3 linked regions of the Schizosaccharomyces pombe genome follow. The gene in region 1 interacts genetically with each later gene. Each region holds a gene or a part of one and is shown on either strand. Other genes may lie near its edges.

The links.
Region 2: of elf1 (region 1) and cue2, changing one suppresses a phenotype caused by changing the other (phenotypic suppression), as found in Schizosaccharomyces pombe (one study listed by BioGRID).
Region 3: of elf1 (region 1) and npp106, a mutation in one rescues a mutant of the other (synthetic rescue), as found in Schizosaccharomyces pombe (one study listed by BioGRID).

What each region holds. Positions count from the first base shown.
Region 1 is NC_003424.3:2,077,963-2,084,973, reverse strand, and holds elf1 (AAA family ATPase Elf1), read left to right. Parts: upstream 1-2,456; 5' UTR 2,457-2,526; coding exon 2,527-5,700; 3' UTR 5,701-5,904; downstream 5,905-7,011. Other genes in the region: lysine methyltransferase Set8, read right to left, coding at 166-1,455; ate1 (arginine-tRNA--protein transferase), read left to right, coding at 6,244-6,360, 6,415-6,446, 6,488-6,553, 6,608-7,011. UniProt on the Schizosaccharomyces pombe protein: Has a direct role in the mRNA export process. Appears to act within the rae1 mediated mRNA export pathway.
Region 2 is NC_003421.2:176,394-182,018, reverse strand, and holds cue2 (SMR domain-containing protein), read right to left. Parts: upstream 3,028-5,625; 5' UTR 2,981-3,027; coding exon 2,954-2,980; exon of another isoform or gene 2,915-2,953; coding exon 1,433-2,914; 3' UTR 1,206-1,432; downstream 1-1,205. Other genes in the region: FAD synthetase Nad1, read left to right, coding at 53-189, 243-651, 700-951; bio2 (biotin synthase), read right to left, coding at 3,971-5,062.
Region 3 is NC_003421.2:2,058,028-2,065,137, forward strand, and holds npp106 (nucleoporin Npp106), read left to right. Parts: upstream 1-1,870; 5' UTR 1,871-1,901; coding exon 1,902-2,125; intron 2,126-2,287; coding exon 2,288-4,865; 3' UTR 4,866-5,307; downstream 5,308-7,110. Other genes in the region: heat shock protein Ssa2, read left to right, coding at 1-1,159; wtf meiotic drive antidote-like Wtf21, read left to right, coding at 6,425-6,563, 6,731-6,976, 7,024-7,110.

The sequences.
Region 1 (7,011 bases):
TTTTTTTCACAATTACTGATTAATTTATTTGGTATGGATATATTACGGATATTATATTATTATACACGATTAGTCATTCCAAATTAAGAGATTTGTAGAGTATTCATCACATACTAAATATTTTCTTTTTTTTTTTAAATAAATAACTTTTTATGCATGGTCGATTCATGACTCAATGGTCTGGCTATGGATGAATTCCACCACAACTTTGGACTTAAGGAGCTTTGAAATAACGTCTCTAAGATATAAAAGGACTTTCTTAAGTAAGAAACTTTCACGCTTTAAAAGCTCTACCGATTCTGAACGTCGTTCGGTTGGATTGTACATATTCTCAATGTTTGTATTTAGGGCAGCATCCGCTAATTGTTCAGCGAGACAAAAAACACGTAAAATATACAAATCTCTTTTAGGAGATAATTGTACAAGCTTTGGCAAATCTTCAACTGAGCATTTTTGACCTTCAAATTCCCAGTCAACTGTTTGAGCTTTTGATTCATCACACACCATTTTGAAGTTTGTAAAGTCTTCAACATTAAGTACAGAAAAAAAAAGAAATGGAGCATGCCACCATAATTCCCCAGATGAATCAGAAACAAATTCAATCATGGGGGGAGTTTTACAAGATCTCCTTTTAGCAAGATCAAGCGAGTCATTAGAATCCTCGGGAATCAAGAGTTTCATAACATTTGTAATCCGATCGCCCTCAGGTTCAGGTAAAAAACCATAAGAAAATAAAAACTCAGCAGAACCTTTTTCACTTCCATAGTTTATCGTAACTTCTTCATTTTCATCAATGTCCTTGTCAAGATAGAGCTGCATAGCATCTTCCGAAAATGACCATTTTGCATTAGACTTAGAGGAGTGATTACATAAATCAATCACAGGAGCTAAAACTGGATCTTTAAAGGGACTTTCAAGGCACCTACTGTGAAACAAAGCATCAGCATGAACCCATTTTGGGAGTGTTATTTTACTAGGCCAGGAATCAGAATACCGCTGGTTTAATGAAAGCCACTCTTGTTGTAAAATTTTTCTCTTGACACAAACTGGATTAAAAATCGAAGTGCCTTGGAGGCTGTAGACTTCTTTTTCGGGCCATTGTGCAGGCGTATTGATAGATAAAGGAAGAACCGTTAAAAACTTATCCCACTTGTTGGTTCGGGGTTGAATACCGAGCCATAAATAGCAAAGAAATAACATAGCCTGAGTTCTGAAACTCATATCGTTCCATTCCTCAAGCGTTGCGATTGAAGCGAATTTATCACAAGAATTTCGAAATTGTTCAACTGTTTTGCGGCATATTATATTTTCAAGTGGAACCTCTAAAAGAACAGTTCCAGAAGTATACCTATTCAAAGAAAAAATTCCATTGCCTTTCTTTCGTATTTTTTTTATAGTAATTTGTTTTGCTCCCGGCGCAAATTGGTTGACCAACTCATTGTATTTGATATCCATTGACTTGATTTTCTCAGTCTTAAGCCAAAACAACGACGGAAAACTTAACAATAAAATGTATTTAATCGAGTTGAAATTTATTGGTTGTTTATTAATAACTCCACGACTTTTCTAAGTCAATAGCAACGAAAATACCCTGTCCCTAGAGAAACAACCGAAGCGACATTAACTTTCGGTAACTCGAACCCAACCCTATATGAACAAAAATACGACGCTTGCATCACAAACGGCAGCCGATTTTTGTACTATAAGTAATTTATGATTTTATTATATCTAGTGGTCATTAGCCTAATACGATTGTCGGTTTAGTTGAAAAATAATATAAAATATTGGAACCTCAAAATAAATAAGTAGTATGTGACAGCTTAAATTATGTATTATTAATATACTAGTAACCTGAGCAGAACAGAGGAAAAATATATTGGCAAAATTATGTGAATCTACATGAAATCTGTTAACTATTGAAATCAATTTATTTCTCCAATTTTTCGTTTTATGGTTAAAATTAATATAAGGACGCAGACTAATATTTTAACAGAGTAGTAGTAAAAAATCCCTATAGAGCTTTTTTGGTTGGTTTATATAGAAACAAGCTTTCTAAAAAGTTATCAAATCATTGTATCTTCTTGCTGATTAAGTACAATACCCTACGGTAGTACCTGGTACCTAATAGGTCTACACTGTCAAATTCATCAGATCCGATGGGCCCACTATAGCAGAGTTTCACGAACTAATTGGATTAATATCTCTATTTACTAATTCATCAAATGCAGGTGGTCCGTTCAGTAAATCTTTTTTGACAGAATATTGAGGATATATTATTTACTTTTAACATCTGTACTAAATAGCGAACTAAAGTAATTATATTATAATAAGCTATAGCGATACTGAGACTGTACTATTTGTCAATAGTCGGCGTTTAAGGAACTGTAAGGCAAATTATAAATTTGCGAGCGGTTAAAATTTAGTATATGAAAGGGATTCTCACAATATCAATAGTTGTCCTCCACCAAGCTACATTGCAAGGCCTAATCGGGTTAATTGTGGGATTTGGAACGGCATTGCAGAGAAATGACATCCTCTGTGTTAATTCAGGGTTACGAAGAGGACGATGTCCTCAAATTATTGCAGGAATTGTTGGATGCTGAAACTTCTCAAAGCTGTGCTGATGTAGGTAAAAAAATTGCCCAGCTTTTTTCAAATGACAACCCTTTAGTCACTTTGAAGACTACGGGGTTTTTGGATGGCTTGGAACGTGCAGCTCGCAATAAGAAGTCGGGATTCCATCGTGAAGCTGCCATGATTGGTTTTGCTACTGTTATTAAAAATTTGGGTACGCCTTCCGAAGTTGTATTCCTTCCTTATCTTCCTACTATTTTGGATTCGTTCTCGGATCGTGGTGAAGTAGTTAGACAAGCCGCCAAAATGGCCGCCCAAGCCCTCTTGGATTGTCTTCCTGCAGGAGCCGTAGAAACGCGCTTAATTCCAAGCTTGATTTCTTACTTAGACGATTCATCTATCAAATGGCCTAGTAAAGTGGCTGCTTTGCAATTACTGGGCTCTCTTGCATCATCATCCCCCAAGGCTGTTGCTGATTACATGGCCGCTCTCATTCCTTGTATTAAAGAACGAATGCATGATACGAAACCGGAAATTTCTCGTGCCGCTATTACATGCATGTTGAACTTATGTTCCGTCGTTGAAAACAACGACATTATTCCTCATATACCAAAGCTCGTCGATTGTATGGCTCATCCGGAAACACTGGAAGCTTGTATTAAAGATTTAAGCGCTACAACATTTGTAGCTACAGTTGAATCAGTTGCTTTAGCTGTGCTCGTTCCTATCTTAAAGCGAGCATTAGCTCAGAGATCACAGTCTATGCTGCGGTTGACTGTCATTATTACTGACAACTTATGTAAACTGGTTCCTGATCCTGCCGAGGCATCTGATTTTCTTCCTGAGTTAATTCCGGACGTTGAGCGTATTGCTCAAACTGCTGCTATGCCTGAAGTTCGTGCCCTTGCTTCTCATGCACTTACTACTCTAAACAAGGCTGCAGCTGCTCAGGCTGCAAAGGCTGCAAACAATTCTGAGAAACAGGCGTTAGATAGCGCTTGTAAAGAATTACGTGAGGCCGTCCTTAAAAACACTAGTGTACCACATGAGTTGGCCAACAGTATCATAGATTATGTCTGCGATGCCTTAGCAGCATTGTATAAGTCAAATAATTTTGACAAAGACAAATGGACTTCGCAATTAGGTGTGCTTTATTTATCTCCACTTGTCGGGGAAGAATTGGCTTCACAAATATCATCAAAGATATATGATGACCTTCACGCCTTCTATAAGTCATTAAATTCTGTTGATGGGATTTCAAACCTTACTATTGAGGAAGAGGAACTAGTTAACACTGATTTTTCTTTGGCATACGGTGGCAGATTGCTTCTGAGTCATACCAATCTTCACCTTTATAGAGGTCATCGATACGGTGTTGTTGGTCACAATGGTTGTGGTAAATCAACCTTGTTACGCGCTATTGGTGATTACAAGGTTGAAAACTTTCCCTCACCTGATGAGGTTAAAACTTGCTTTGTTGCACATAGTCTTCAAGGCGAGGATACTAGTATGGCTATCCTTGACTTTGTTGCTCAAGATAAGGCGTTACTGACTATGAATGTTACCCGTCAAGAAGCTGCTGATGCTTTGCATTCTGTTGGTTTTACTGCGGAGATGCAGGAAAATCCTGTTGCTTCTTTATCTGGTGGTTGGAAAATGAAACTGGAGTTGGCTCGTGCCATGTTGCAGAAAGCTGATATTTTGCTTTTGGATGAACCAACAAATCATCTTGATGTTGCCAATATTGCATGGCTGGAAGCATATTTAACCTCTCAAAAGAATATTACTTGCTTGATAGTTTCTCACGACTCTTCATTTTTGGACCACGTGTGTACTGACATCATTCATTATGAAGGTGTTAAAAACCAGGCAAAAAAGCTTGGTTATTATCAAGGTAATCTTTCAGCTTTTGTCAAGGTCAAACCGGAAGCTAAATCATACTATACATTGACAGCCACAAACGAGAAGTTTGTTTTTCCACCTCCCGGTATCTTAACTGGTGTGCGCTCAAACACACGTCTCATATTAAAAATGACAAACGCTTCTTATACATATCCCAACGCGAAGAAGAAGTCATTAGATAATGTTACCGTTGGGTTATCTTTATCTTCTCGTGTTGCCATTTTAGGTCCTAACGGTGCTGGTAAATCAACGCTTATTAAAGTTCTTATCGGTGAAGTAATCCCTCAAGAAGGAAAAGTTTTCAAGCATCCCAACTTGCGTGTGGGTTACGTTGCTCAGCATGCCTTTCATCACTTGGATCAACATCTGGAAAAAACGCCAAGTCAATATATTCAATGGCGTTATGCTGGAGGACAGGACCGCGAAGTTTCAGAGAAGGAATCTCGAAAACTTACCGAAGAAGACCGTGCTCAGCTTCAGCGTGATATTACGGTCAATGGCGAACGTAGAAGAGTGGAAGCTTTGATTGGCCGTCAAAAACTAAAAAAGTCATTTCAATATGAAATTAAATGGTTTGGGAAGCCTCATAAATACAATACGTGGGTGTCTCGAGAAATATTGCTTGAAAATGGGTTTCAAAAGTTTGTACAGGCTTTTGATGATATGGAATCTTCTCGCGAAGGTCTCGGTTTCCGTGAATTGATTCCCGAAGACATCAGGGCACATTTTGAGGATGTGGGCCTTCCTGGCGACATTGCTGATTACAGCCCCATTAGTAGTTTGTCTGGCGGTCAAAAGGTTAAAGTTGTTATTGCTGCGTGTCTCTGGAATAACCCCCAGCTTTTGGTTTTGGACGAACCTACAAACTTTTTGGACAGAGATGCATTAGGTGGTTTAGCTGTTGCTATTCGTGATTGGGAAGGTGGGGTCGTTATGATTTCACATAATGAAGAATTTGTTTCTGCGTTGTGTCCTGAACACTGGCATGTAGAAGCGGGTAAGGTTACCGGTAAGGGCAAGACCGCTGTTGACGATGGAAAGTTTGAAGATCTGTCGGAGAAAGATTTGAAAAAGATTGAGGCTAAAGCTACCAAAAAGAAGAAATTGACGAGAAATGAAATCAAGGCCAAAGAAAGACGTGCTAGAGAGAGAGAATTAGCATGGTTACAATCTCCCAAGGGCACCGAAAAACCCAAATCATTCTTCTCTGATGATGAAGAATAATTTCAGACTAATTTTTTAATTCGCTCTTTGGATTGACAAGTTGAGAGTTGTTTATCCTTTAATTTTCTTTAGACGGTGCTAGTTGTTGAAGTTGGTCTTTTACATATTTACGGTTTACTGATATACCTTTTAGACTTAATTTATATATATAGAACTTGGTGGATGGTATCGTGGATAATATTAATATTAGTCGCTTTTTATATGTTTTGTTTATCGTTAGTGCATGTTATAGTTGTATTAGACGTATACACTTTTGTCATTGACTCTTGTAAAAGGTGTCAAGAGAACTATGTATTTTTTGGGTTTTTTTCTAGATATTCGTATGAAAATGTGATAGACTTTTTAATATGATTAATCAGGAAATTTCTATAAACATGCACTCAACGAAAAATAGGGTACTTAATCTTCAAGAAATAATTGGTGTAGTCTTAGTTCACCTACTCAAAGAGCCTTCAAAATAAAGGCAAAAGAACTGAACTAAGAGTTTTACTACTGATGATATAGTTCATTTAATATTAAACAGGGAAATTTTCAAACAATAGTATGGTATTGGATAAACTGTTGTACACAGGGTACAACGTCAGTACTGAATGTGGTTATTGTAAAAGTGGAAGAAAGACCGAGCATTTTGGTTTATTAGCAGAAAAGCTCAGTTGTGAAGTAAGCGTATAACTCTGCTTTTTGCAAATTTTGCTAACCTACATTTAACCTCAGGACTACCAGCGATTGATTGATTTGGGATGGAGGTAAAAACCTTTATTAGTTAACATTGCTAATATAAAATAAGACGTTCAGGACATTATTTATATAAACCCAACGGGAAAACATCTTGCTGTTCTCTTTATACAATCAGGTACTTAGCATAAGTCGCCAAATATGATTGATTACTAACCGCCGAATGTTGAAGACTCGACAGCTATAATTTTAAAATTGCAAAAGAGCAAAAGAAGGCAATAAAAAAATGGGTCAAATATGTAAATGGAAAGCCATTAAAACCTATGAAAAGCGAAATTAGCACAGATTATTTGAACAATGCCTTTCAAACTATAGAATCGCTCGGAGCTGAAAAATACTCTGTAACTATGGAGCCTTGCACTTACACCGATGAGAAATTTGAAGTCTTCAAAAAGTATCAAATGCAAGTTCATTTAGAGAAAGAAGAGGAAATCACGAAAAAAGGATTTAGCAGGTTTCTTTGCAACTCTCCTTTATTTAATGAAGACAAGGGGATAAAGTATGGTTCTTATCATCAGATGTATCGATTTCAAGGAAGGCTTGTGGCAGTTGGAGTTTTAGACTTGCTACCACATG
Region 2 (5,625 bases), on another chromosome or scaffold:
ATAACTGCGAATTTTTTGGTATAAACTTAGGCTTCTTGAATAAAATATATCAATGGATGAGTTGGAACGTGTATATCAAAGTATAAAAAACATTTTCACTCATTCAGCACCTTCAGAGAAGCTAGTGGGGCTACAAAATCGACTTAGCATTTCTCTGCGGTTTATTGAATATGCTTTCGAAACTTATCAGTATGCGCGCACTATTTTTATAAGTTCTATTATTTTCTAACGTTTATTACAAGACCAGAAAGACTTGCTATGTCGTTTAATGGAGGAAAAGACTGCTTAGTTCTCTTTTTATTGTGTATATACTATCTTAAAGAAAAATACAAAGAGCAAGCTCAAGCAAAACTTTCTAATATTCCTTTCGTTTTTGTTCGACCTAGAGATGAATTTCCAGAGATGGATGATTTTGTGAACGAGTGTCAGTCAAAATATCGCCTTAATATCATTAAAATATCACTTCCCATGAAAGAAGCATTTTGCAAGTTTCTCAAGGAACATAAGCACATTCAAGCGATACTTATAGGTATTCGGCGGCTGGATCCGCATGGCTTGCATCGTATAGCTTTTGAAGTGACAGACAAAGGTTGGCCTAAATTTATGAGAATACAACCAATATTGGATTGGTCTTATACTGAAATATGGGATGTAAGTTTTCTCTTTGACATATTACTATATCAATATACTAAACATTAGCTACTTCTTGAAACAAACACAAAATACTGTTCTTTATATGATAGAGGTTACACCTCTTTGGGCGGCGTTTCTGATACGTCTCCTAACCCTGCTTTAAAAAATCCCGATGGAACTTACTCTCCTGCGTACTTACTTTCTGATGGATCCCTTGAAAGGGCAGGAAGAAATAATACTGTTCCATTTTCTCGCACCAATTCACGGTTTCTGTATGACAGCGGCGCATCCTCCTATGCGTCTTCCGAAGTATCTTAAATACGTGGCGCCTTTTTTCCCATTTATAATGCAATTCTAGCATGAGGATTGCGATTTTCTGCATTACTAAAGCGTCTATCTTTTGGATACATTTGTTCTTTGGTTTATAATACTTGCCAAATACAAAAGCCTTATTGTAATGTTGATATTCTCGACTAAACGTTCTGTAACTTTACGACTATTGTTTTCTGTTCCATGATGAAACCTACATCAATTACACTTATTGTAATTACCTAATCTCTTTAACCAAGAATCTATTGAAACCCTATGAATCAATTTTTTTTAGTATGTGCTCTCCTCGGCGAGCAAGTAACTACAATTACTTACTTTTGATAATAAATAATATTTTGCTCGAGATAAGGGCTTAAGCAAAAAATGTTGGTGTAACATGTTAACGCAGTTGGAAGAGCGAAAATAAATAAATAGAACAAACCAAAAGAATATGGCAGACTAGCAATGCGCAAGTTAATAGATCGCATGCTCATGCATTGCTATTAAGCTTAGAGTGTCGATTAATACCGTATACAGTTATTTGACCATGCTCAGCATCAAACCTCCAATGATCCTGCTGTAACAATCTGACGATCGCCGGCAAAAGTCGAGCTTCAAGTCCTATACTATGATTGCCACGACCCGTGACAATAACAAAAGGACGAATACTATTAGGAGAAGTATCTGCCTCTTTAGCCCACCAAGCAGCAACACGTTCACGGACTATTGTCTTTGCCTCGCGGACAGTAGCTCCATGCAAATCCAAAGAGTGAGATGTTCCAGAATGTGCAAGAGATCGCATAGCAAGAGATCGGTACTTAAGTGCCTTTTCGTGGTATTCGCGCCCTAACTGAGCATGATACATTGCAGAACCACCAAAAAGATGATTACTTTTGCTTCTTCGATATTCTTTAGCCGAGTTAGAATATTGCATATTTCGTAATTCCAAATACTCTTCGGCAAGACGGTTACAATCTTCAGCAGACAACGCTTCATCATCTTCAACCAACTTACTACTCTGATCATTTAAGCATGTTTTGGTCTGCGTCGAAGAATTTGACTTCGCGGTTTGTGAACTCAGTTTGATGTTTCCCATTTCATTATGCTGAGTTTCCTTAATTAAGCATAAAATCCATAATGCGTTTTTGTAGTCGTTACTACAAATCAAAACGTCTGTGCAAATTTTAAGTGAAAGACCAGTATCTTTCGCCAGTTGAGTTGCTTCTTCTTGATACTTCATCAACTCATTATTTGTTATATTTGATAGCGGCTGGTGCCTATGAATTAAATTTCTGATGGTTATTGGCCAAGCACTCGAATTTTTATAAAACTCATGATTAATTTGTGAAGATGGAATATTGAGAATAGATGTAAGCTTCTCAATCAACAGGCGATTATTTTCCCAAACGGAAAGAGAAGGCTTTAGAATTGGGTCTTCATTGACTTCCTCAGTGTTGGATTGAAATTTACTCAAAGGTTTTCTAGAATTAGTTGCTTTTTTAGTTTTCTTTTTCCTTTGACGAGAACGGTGACCTATGTTGGAAGTAATCAGAGCGTCAGCAGCAGTCTCTATCTGTTCACTTTCCTGTATGGCACGATGATTTAACAGTTCATCGCTTGAGCGAACGAGGTCGTTTTGACATTTCGCTTGAACCAATTGAACCCGCGCAGCAGAAAGATCGCTAAACATAGATCTCAAAAAATTGTAGACATCGGGATCTAGTTCTAAACTCGAATCCTTTAGTTCCCAGGTAAAATCCTCCTCATCTATTTTGTTTATCTCTTCATCTAGAGTTTTAAGGTTTAATAATTCCTGCTCATCACGCCTCAAATTATCCCAATGTTCCTCATGTGAATCACACTGGCTTTCGATGGACAAAGCTTCAAGTATTTCTCGTGCGGTATTACTATCATCACTGTCATTTACAATTGCAAGAACTAGCGCAGAATCTAGATATCTCGAATAATATTCCTAAATCACTTAGTGAGAAGTAAAATAATCAGAAATTACCTCTAATGCTGCGCGCCAATCTTGCATTTACCAGTTTTTGCGTTTATAATTATTCCTTTTTACGTTTGGTTCATGTTTTCTACAAAATGACATACAGCTCTTGGATAATTAATACTTTGAATTCGTTAAACTTCATTAAATGACAATAAACGACTCGCTTACAACACAGTGTATCGTAGCAGAAATTCAAGAAAATGAAGGCAACAAAAATGCAATAAAGTCGCTCTACCAACGTTTTTCAGAAGACCAATTTTCTAAAAGTCAGTTGGTATATAAAACGGAAGTCGTAGAACTTTGCTGGAAATATAACTATATTGGTCGGTTACAAAGTGCGCTTATCGAACTCAAGTGCACGCTATTTATTAGCTAGTTTTATCTATAACAAAATATATAGTAGCTAAAGCTCAAAACTCACTCCACGTTTATGTGAGCGAACTTAAGTTTATCTCTAGTAACAAATTTATAATTAGCAATCAAGCGTTGTCGTGATGAGTGAGATAATTTACAGAAGTTGTTTAATATGCAAACTGAGAGTAATTCGTGCATTGATCTATGTTTAATATGCGAAAGACTTCTGTTCCGTAGGGAATAAACCATCTAATAAGAATTTGTCCCATATTAACCTTATCTGAAGTCGTCTATTTGAATAATAATAACCTAACGGTTGATTTATCGAATGAACAGCACATTAGCACAAGTAAATTCAAAGGGTTCTAAACGGCTTTTTGCTAACTGTGAGGCTCTTATGATGTCTGGGATTTGATATTGAAATACTCAAAATCTCCCAACTTCTATTGGAAAAACAATAAATGGAAGTTCCTTGCAACAAATTTAAAGTATCAATATATCAGCAACACGGTGGCTTTATTAAATGAATGTAACTGGTAGAAGAAGAAAAATTACAGTCTGATTTGATTTTGGAATCACATCAAAGAACCAGGCTGGGAAAACCAAAATTAGCTTTTAAAAAAGAGACTTTAGTTTACAAATAGAATGAATGGAAACTCATTACAACGATTAAAGACTAGGGCTAGGAGCAAGGCGCTCTTTCGGGGGAAGGGTGAAAGTGCCATCTTCTCCCTCAGTAGAAGTTCCATATTCAAAGCTTTGCATTCCTTCCAAACCCCAATTGTAAAAAAGCTGACTGTCTGAGTCCCAAGAAACAGCAGGAGTAGTAAGCATTTTTTCACCGGTAAAAACTGCATTAGCACCAGCCATGAAAGCAAGTGCTTGCTCGGACTCGGAGCACGTGTTACGTCCAGCTGCAAAACGAATGATAGTCTTTGGCATGCAAATACGAGCTGTTGCAATGGAGCGAAGGAAAGGATGAATCGGAAGTCTCTCTTTTACAGCGTCTCCTACAGGGGTGCCAGGAATCGGGACCAAAAGATTAAAGGGTACAGATTCAGGATGTGTTGGCATAGTTGCTAACGAGTGAATCAATCCTACACGATCATGCTTTTTCTCCCCTAGACCCAAAATACCACCGCTACAAACCTTCAACCCAGCTTTCCGAAGATTGTCAATAGTATTTAACCGTTCATCATATGTCCTAGTGCTGATAATCTTTGAGTAATATTCGCGAGAGGTATCAAGATTATGATTGTATGCCGTCAAGCCTGCATCCTTTAGTTCCTTGGCTTGCTGTTCATTTAACATACCAAGGGTTACGCAAACTTCCATATCCATGCTGCGAACCTCTTTGATGATTTCCAAAATATTTTTAAAGGTGCGATTGCGACCATTCAAATCACGCCAGGCACTTCCCATACAAAATCTAGTGCTTCCTTTAGCCTTTGCAATTTTAGCCTTTTCCAAAACTTCGTCAATTTTCATGAGCTTAGTGGCCTTGACACCGGTATTGTAGCGGGAAGATTGCGCACAATATTTGCAATCTTCTGTACATCCACCTGTTTTAATAGAAAGTAAAGTGCATTGTTGAACTTTCTTGGGGTCGTGGAATTTTCTATGTATGGAAGCGGCTCTAAAAATCAAATCGATCAATGGTGTGTCGTAAATTTTTTGAATTTCTTCACGAGTCCAATTGTTTCGCACTAAAGAAAGGGCAGAAGATCTCCTAATCTGTTGCCTAATTGTTCTAGTAAACATTGTAAACTATTTAAATAATAGGAAAATCAGAAGCAGTAGCAATTTGTCGAAAAATCTAAAAGTTCAAACAACGGAACCTATTTAAATGAGAGTATGCTTTTTTAATTTGCGATCAGCCGAGATAAAAGTATCGATTGCTTATTCCAACTTTCAGCGGGTATTTGGTCTATATATAGATGCCTACACAGCGATACTCACGCTCGTTTTTATTTTGCTGATGGCAGATGGGACATGGCTGATTCCCAAACCCAACCATTGGATCCTGTGAAAAAGATGGATGTAAGCGATATCGTTATTTCAAGTGAACAGGATGCATGCTGCGCTTCTCAAAGAGAGTTAACATACTATAACGATAAGCATATTATTATAAGTATTGTGTAAGGATATTTGTTTACACTGTAGATTTCAGCATATATCAGATATTAACTATTTAGATGAAAAGCTACTAAAACAAACTAATTTGTCTATAGAATACAGACATACCTCTAATGCTACGTACTATTCGATTTAGAAAGGTTGAATGACACCTATATGACCCATAAACATCGATACTCAATTATATA
Region 3 (7,110 bases), on another chromosome or scaffold:
TACCGCTTGTGAGCGTGCTAAGCGTACTCTTTCTTCTTCTGCTCAAGCTAGCATTGAGATTGACTCTTTGTTCGAGGGTATTGACTTCTACACCTCCATTACTCGTGCCCGTTTTGAGGAGCTTTGCGCCGATCTCTTCCGTAAAACCATGGAGCCCGTCGAGCGTGTTCTCCGTGACTCCAAGGTCGACAAGGCCTCCGTCAACGAGATTGTTTTAGTCGGTGGTTCCACCCGTATTCCCCGTGTTCAAAAGCTTGTCTCTGACTTCTTCAACGGTAAGGAGCCTTGCAAGTCCATCAACCCTGATGAAGCTGTTGCCTATGGTGCTGCCGTCCAAGCTGCTGTCTTGACTGGTGACACTTCTGAGAAGACTCAAGATCTTTTGTTGCTTGATGTTGCTCCCCTTTCCATGGGTATCGAGACTGCTGGTGGTGTCATGACTCCCCTTATCAAGCGTAACACTACCATCCCTACCAAGAAGTCCGAGATCTTTTCCACTTACTCTGATAACCAACCCGGTGTGTTGATTCAAGTGTTTGAAGGTGAGCGTGCTCGTACCAAGGACTGTAACTTGCTTGGTAAGTTTGAGCTTTCCGGTATCCCCCCTGCACCTCGTGGCGTTCCTCAAATTGAAGTCACTTTTGATGTTGATGCTAACGGTATTTTGAATGTCTCTGCTCTCGAGAAGGGTACTGGTAAGACTCAGAAGATTACCATCACCAATGACAAGGGTCGTCTTTCCAAGGAGGAAATTGACCGTATGGTTGCCGAAGCTGAGAAGTACAAGGCTGAGGATGAGGCCGAGTCCGGTCGTATCCAAGCCAAGAACCACTTGGAGTCTTATGCTTACTCTCTTCGTAACTCTTTGGATGATCCTAACCTTAAGGACAAGGTTGATGCTTCCGACAAGGAGACCGTTGACAAGGCTGTCAAAGAGACCATTGAATGGCTCGACAGTAACACTACTGCTGCCAAGGATGAGTTCGAGGCCAAGCAAAAGGAGCTTGAAAGTGTTGCTAACCCCATCATGGCTAAGATCTACCAAGCTGGTGGTGCTCCCGGTGGCATGCCTGGCGCCGCTCCTGGTGCTGCTCCTGGTGCTGCTCCTGGTGCTGCCCCTGGTGGTGACAATGGTCCTGAGGTTGAGGAGGTTGATTAAAATACTGTGCATGAAGAAAAATCTTTTAATGGGCGGTTTTAATTGTGAAAATTATGTTGTGAACAATGTTTTTTTGTAATAGACATGACTAACGAGGTTATATAAATATTAACAAATTAATAGTTAATAAATTTGTTTTAAAGAATCTTTTTTCTACTAGTATGACTGTAAATATATGTAAGTGTTTTCGTGTTTTCGTTTGCTTTGTTACTGTGGTAATAAGTCAAAGTATTAAGTTATTTGCTTCATATGTGTTAAACTGCTTAAGGAATTAGTTTCGTGTTATGAAATTTAAATTTTGCATGTAAATTGAAGAATACTCACATATAGTTTGAGTGTATATAGGTGTATTTATGGTATGAGTTCTTTGATTTCCATTTCAGAATTGCATCCTTTTCATAATAAATAATAGTATTGAGCTTTACAATGGTAACTATTTGAGTACAGTAAATATTCATGCAGATGCGTTTGAAATCGACAAATGTCTAGAAGAAATGTTTCAATATATTTAAAATAATAGAAGCCGAGTAAGATGCCACCTGAACAAAACTTTCAAAGCATGAAATGAAGATTATATACAGTTTAATTTTATTCGCATCCAGCAGATAGCGCGTTATGCAACGTTGCTGTTAAATACATTACGATGCACTGTGACGGGTTCGTTATGTGCTCAATGTTTTGTAGAAGTAAGGAAAGATACATGCGTAAACCAACCTTTTGACAACTTTAGATCCTTTTGCTGATGGAATCCAAGGAAGCCAAAGAGAAAGGGGTAAATACTTCTGACTCTAAGGGATCTCAGATAGAAAGTTCTATATCGGATTTACGTGAAAAATCACAACATTTGTTTGGTGTCCTCCTAGAACCTCAAGTGCCAGTTATTCAATATGGATTAAATCAATTAGAAGAGAAGGCTCGAAATTTAGAGTCAAAAGTTTTATTGACGCGTGACGGTGATACGAAAGCGTAAGTTGATATTAGATTGAACGTTGTGTCGAGTGACAACAAGATTAGAAATATTTCATTACTTAACAGTATACGTTTATTAAATTGCTTTGGCACTCTTGTCTTCTATTCCTTTTTTCTGCTATATATGCCTGAATTTGAATAATTATTAACTCAATCTAGTCATTACTTGCTGGCTGAAAGTGGTATGAACGCTGAGCAAACACGCCAAAAGATTTATTCCATTCATATTCATTCTCCTTGGGATCAATTGGAGCTTGACAAGAAGTCTTTGTATGAGCAACCTCATACGAAACTATACAATGGACAAAATGTGGTTGCTAGCATAGAGAACGGCTATCAAAGCAATGTTTACGAGTTCCAATTACGACTAATGAAAAATAATGGCATAGCGTGGGAAAATACAAAAACGGAATTTATGGAAGATGTCGGTAAATTGCTTCACTCCAAGGATAATTCCGGTTTAGGTACTTCAATCAGCATGTCGCTTAGACCAAATTTGGCTAGGCCGTTATTGACAGCTTCATCCGTTAAATCACAGAGTGTTCGTTCGTTACGAGAAGTCGGTTCAAACCTACCAATTCCTACAGGGTCCTTGACCAAGATAGACGGCCTTAATAATCAACTTTCTAATGACTTGACTAGATCACAGACGACGAACATTTTTGGTTTTGCCGAAAAAGCTAGTTCATTTGCAGCAGCTGTTCACAAATTAAATGAGGCACGGATTAGGAATCAAGCCTGCCATGTTTGGTCTTTGTTTGCATCGGTTAGTCAGATGGTAAATACCGAAGTTATTCAACTTTTCGATGCATGGTCTTTGTTGGCCCATATGATTGATGAAACCCGGTATGGTATGGGTGATTTTGAAGCTAGACATTTGGCTCTGGATTCTAGCTCTGCCGCGCTTGCCGTAGAGAAAAACTGCATAGAAGGGTCTTTAAAGTATTTAGAAAACCAGTTTTTATCATTGATTGATCTGCACCTCTCGGATGCTGGTCATATTACTACTGTCAATTCTGTGGAGAAAGTGATCGCTTACAGTAAGCTTCGATTCTACAAAAACGGGTCATGGATTAAGTCTACCGTATCAGTGGTCAATGATGTTCCTTTGTGGGTTGTCTTGTTCTATCTAATGAGGTCAGGGCAGTTAGATGCTGCCTTGCAATTTGTGAACACCTATTCCGACGATTTTGAAAAACTTGGTAGATCGTTCCCACTTTATTTCTACTCCTATGCCAAAAACCCTTCTCTTCCGTTGCCAAAACAATTGCGTGATCGCTTACAGGCTGAGTATGGTCAACTAATGAAATATGCTCCTGAAGATCCTTTTAAACACGCAATATATAAATTATTAGGGAACTGTGAACCACATCGCGTATCCCTTCCTGAAGTTTGTGTAACGTCCGAGGATTATATGTGGATTCAATTAATGTTTTGCCGTGTAAATCAGAACGACGTGATTGATTCCAACGGTGGGCAATCCACAAATTCTCTCTTTAACTTATATCAGCTAGAAAAGAAAATTGTCGCTTTTGGTCCCAGGTACTTCAATCCAAAGAATAATACACCAACCAACTATTTTCTCGCTCTTTTAATGTGTGGTGAATTTGAACGGGCAATAAGCTTTCTGCACACAAATTATCCAGTGGAGGCTACTCATTTTGCTGTAGCAATGGCTTACTACGGTCTCTTACGTACTAAAAATTACGAAAAAAATGAAAATATCTTGATATATGAAGCTGACGACGTTAAAATTAACTTTCCACAATTGATCATTGCTTACCTGAAACATTTGGAGTATGTTGATGCAGCTGTTTATTTAGACTACATAGCTTGCATACCTTTGGTTCCCGCTTATCAAGCGTGTAGTATTAATTTAACGAAAATACTTCTGCTTCAATCGCATGAGTTTTCAAAGTTTTTGGGGGACATCAAACCGGATACTGAGCGTACAACCGGATTGTTAGACTTGTATCTTCGTCTCATTCCTTTTGATCATGACTCATTACAAAAGTTGTATTTGGAAGGCGCTAGAGAGGCAGACGATGATGGACGGTTTGGGGACTCAATCATACTATACCATTTGCTCGGGGATTACGATACAGTGATTGGTGTTGCTATCAAAAACCTTAGTCAAAGTATTGTTTCTCGAGGTTTATGGTCTATCGATTCCAAAGAAAGTAAAAATATGCATATTTCTTCTAATGTTGTAGCTAGTGAAGCTCCAGATGCCTTGGCTGCAAATCTGTTAGCAATGTACGAATCCAATCCAAAGAAAAGTGCAAAAGTTTCAGCAACCAACAAAAAGGCATTAAAAGTTCTGCTTAAAGTTGTCAAAGTACAAAAACTGTATGGTCAAGAAAAATGGGACGAAGTTCTTCAGCTAATTGAACATTTGGATCTTTTGCCAATCAATGAAGTGCAAGCTGAATTCGAACCCAATGAACAAATTCCACCAATTTCTGCACGTTTACGGCGTCGCGCTTTTGAGTTTTCCACATTCCAGGATGAGGTCTTGAGCGTTATTCCATCCTTAATGTACATTTCCATGTCTTCCATTAAAGCTTTGTACAGAACAATATCTAAACTTCCTGTAGTCAATGAGGAATCAAAGAAGAAATTACAACGTTTGCAATTTAAAGGGTCTATGTTGGTGATGTTCAGTACCATGATAGAATCACGGTTGTCTCCCCAAATTCTAGAATACCTTCAAGCTGAGCAACTGACTCTTCTGTAACGAAGCATTGGCTTCTTTTCTTACTGCGAACTGAACGTTTCATATATCCTCTTGATAGTTGTGTTCAATTTTTTGGTATTTTTGTATCTTTTATGACTTAAAAATAGGAATTTTATTCACTTGCCTTAATGCGTCTTTAAGCTTTTAATTCAATCCCAACATTTATTCATCTTAATGTTTTCCCATTTTTATAGTCTTCGAAACTTTATGAATACAATCTAGTAAACAAATATAATCGGGATTGCATAGCTTGCAAGGTCAAGTTTCTGTCAAATAATTGGTTCGTTTATCTGCTAAATGCTTCAAAATAATTTTGTAAATCATGTTATGCCGAATATTTCATAATAAATTCATATTTACACTTTTCACATAAATCCTCCACTTTATAGCACAGTGAATTTAGTTATGAGCCATTTATTGACTAGCTCAAAAGGCTTTACGTTTTTTACAAATAATTAATTATTTTTTTTAATATGATATGATTCTTATTGATATTTCGAATTCCGCACTCGCCTAAAATATATCGAATAAAATATATTATTTGAACTAAACGAACTAAAAAGTTGAACAACTCAAATCAGTGAAGGAGATATATCTTTTCGACTTTGTTCTACGATATGCCAAACGATTGAAAATTACTTGCCCATAGTTAATATATAATAATTAGTATGTAAACAAAAGGTAAATATAAAACCGAACAGCAATAAATGGGTGCAGGAGTATTTGATATAAGAAAATGTTGAAAATGTTGAAAATTTAATATAGTAATGAATACCAAAATTAAGTTGAATCAGTTTTTGTCTTTTCAAACGAAACAAATTAAAAAATTTTTTAAAAAAACTTTAGCATGGCTATGAACGACCAAATGCTTGAGTGAGATTTTAAATCACGAAACCCGCTACACAGTCAATTATGGTTTGCAGTTGCCAGACACGCGATTAACTATTTATTTAACCAGGCTTAGAACTACAGTGAGTTTTATTTGCGATTTAGTAAAGAGTGTGTATGCGATAGTAACGAACAACGATATTAATCATTGTTATGAGAATTTTAATAATATCATTCACACTGAACCTCATTCCTCAGTTCAGTTATGAGTTATATCGGTGACCGATACTAATAGACTTCTTATAACAATAAATATAATATTGTTAGTTAACATACCGCTTACCGCTATGTTGTAAGTCGCTAGAAATCTCGCCGCAGTGCTATGTATCGTTAAAGCAGATACCAAATTGCGTACTGACATTATAATTATACTACAACGTTTTGCTTCTCAAAAACGTTTAAGGAAATCTAAGTTGGGGTGAATAAAAAGGGCAGTGACAAAATAAATGTGTCAGAAGCAATTACATTAAAATGAGTTTTGGAATTCTACTTTTCACTTGCTATTATTGAAAAAACAGTTTGCTTTGAAACGAGTATTATTCATTTATTTATGTTGAACAGCTGAAATTGAACTCCAGAGCGAATATTCTTGATTTTGCTGTTTCGTTTGTCGCAATCATAGCAATTAATTCGCGCATGTGTTTTATTAAATAAAGAATGATCTTGATGAAATGAAGAATAATTACACTTCTTTGAAAAGTCCTCTAGATGAAGAAGATGAATTGAAGACAGATCATGAAATCGATTTGGAAAAAGGACCACTCCCAGAATATGATTCGGAGGAAGAGGGCGCATTACCTCCATATTCAGGTAAGAATTGTAAACAATAAGAAAGGAATTACTCAATGGAAAGTTGAAACTTGCCATCTTGTCAAATTGCATGCTTTGGTCATTGTTTACAGTCGGCCATGCAATGCACACAATTTGATACATGCTCTTTCTTTACTAAAGTATTTCAATCATATTAATTTAAACAGATCACGCACTTGTAAATAATCCTCCTAACACACATAGAGAAAACAATCCTTCCAGGTCGACAGATAATTCTTCCCCTTTCTTGATAAAACTGCTAATATCATTCACACCAATCTATGTACTGAATGTACTCGCAATTTGTTATCTAACGTATAAGGACGCTTTCTTTAAGGATTATGGTGCAGCAGAATGGACATTATTTGGATTTTGGTGTCTTGTTTGCACTTTGGCTTTAATATTCTTGACTTGTAAGTGAGACAATGGGTAATCTTACCTTCAGTCACTAACTCATTAGACTTCTATGAAACTTGGGTCAAGGCAGTTAAAGTAACTGTAATTTCCTTGGCAAAATGTGTAAAGGTGATTTCTATTGGCCTTTTCA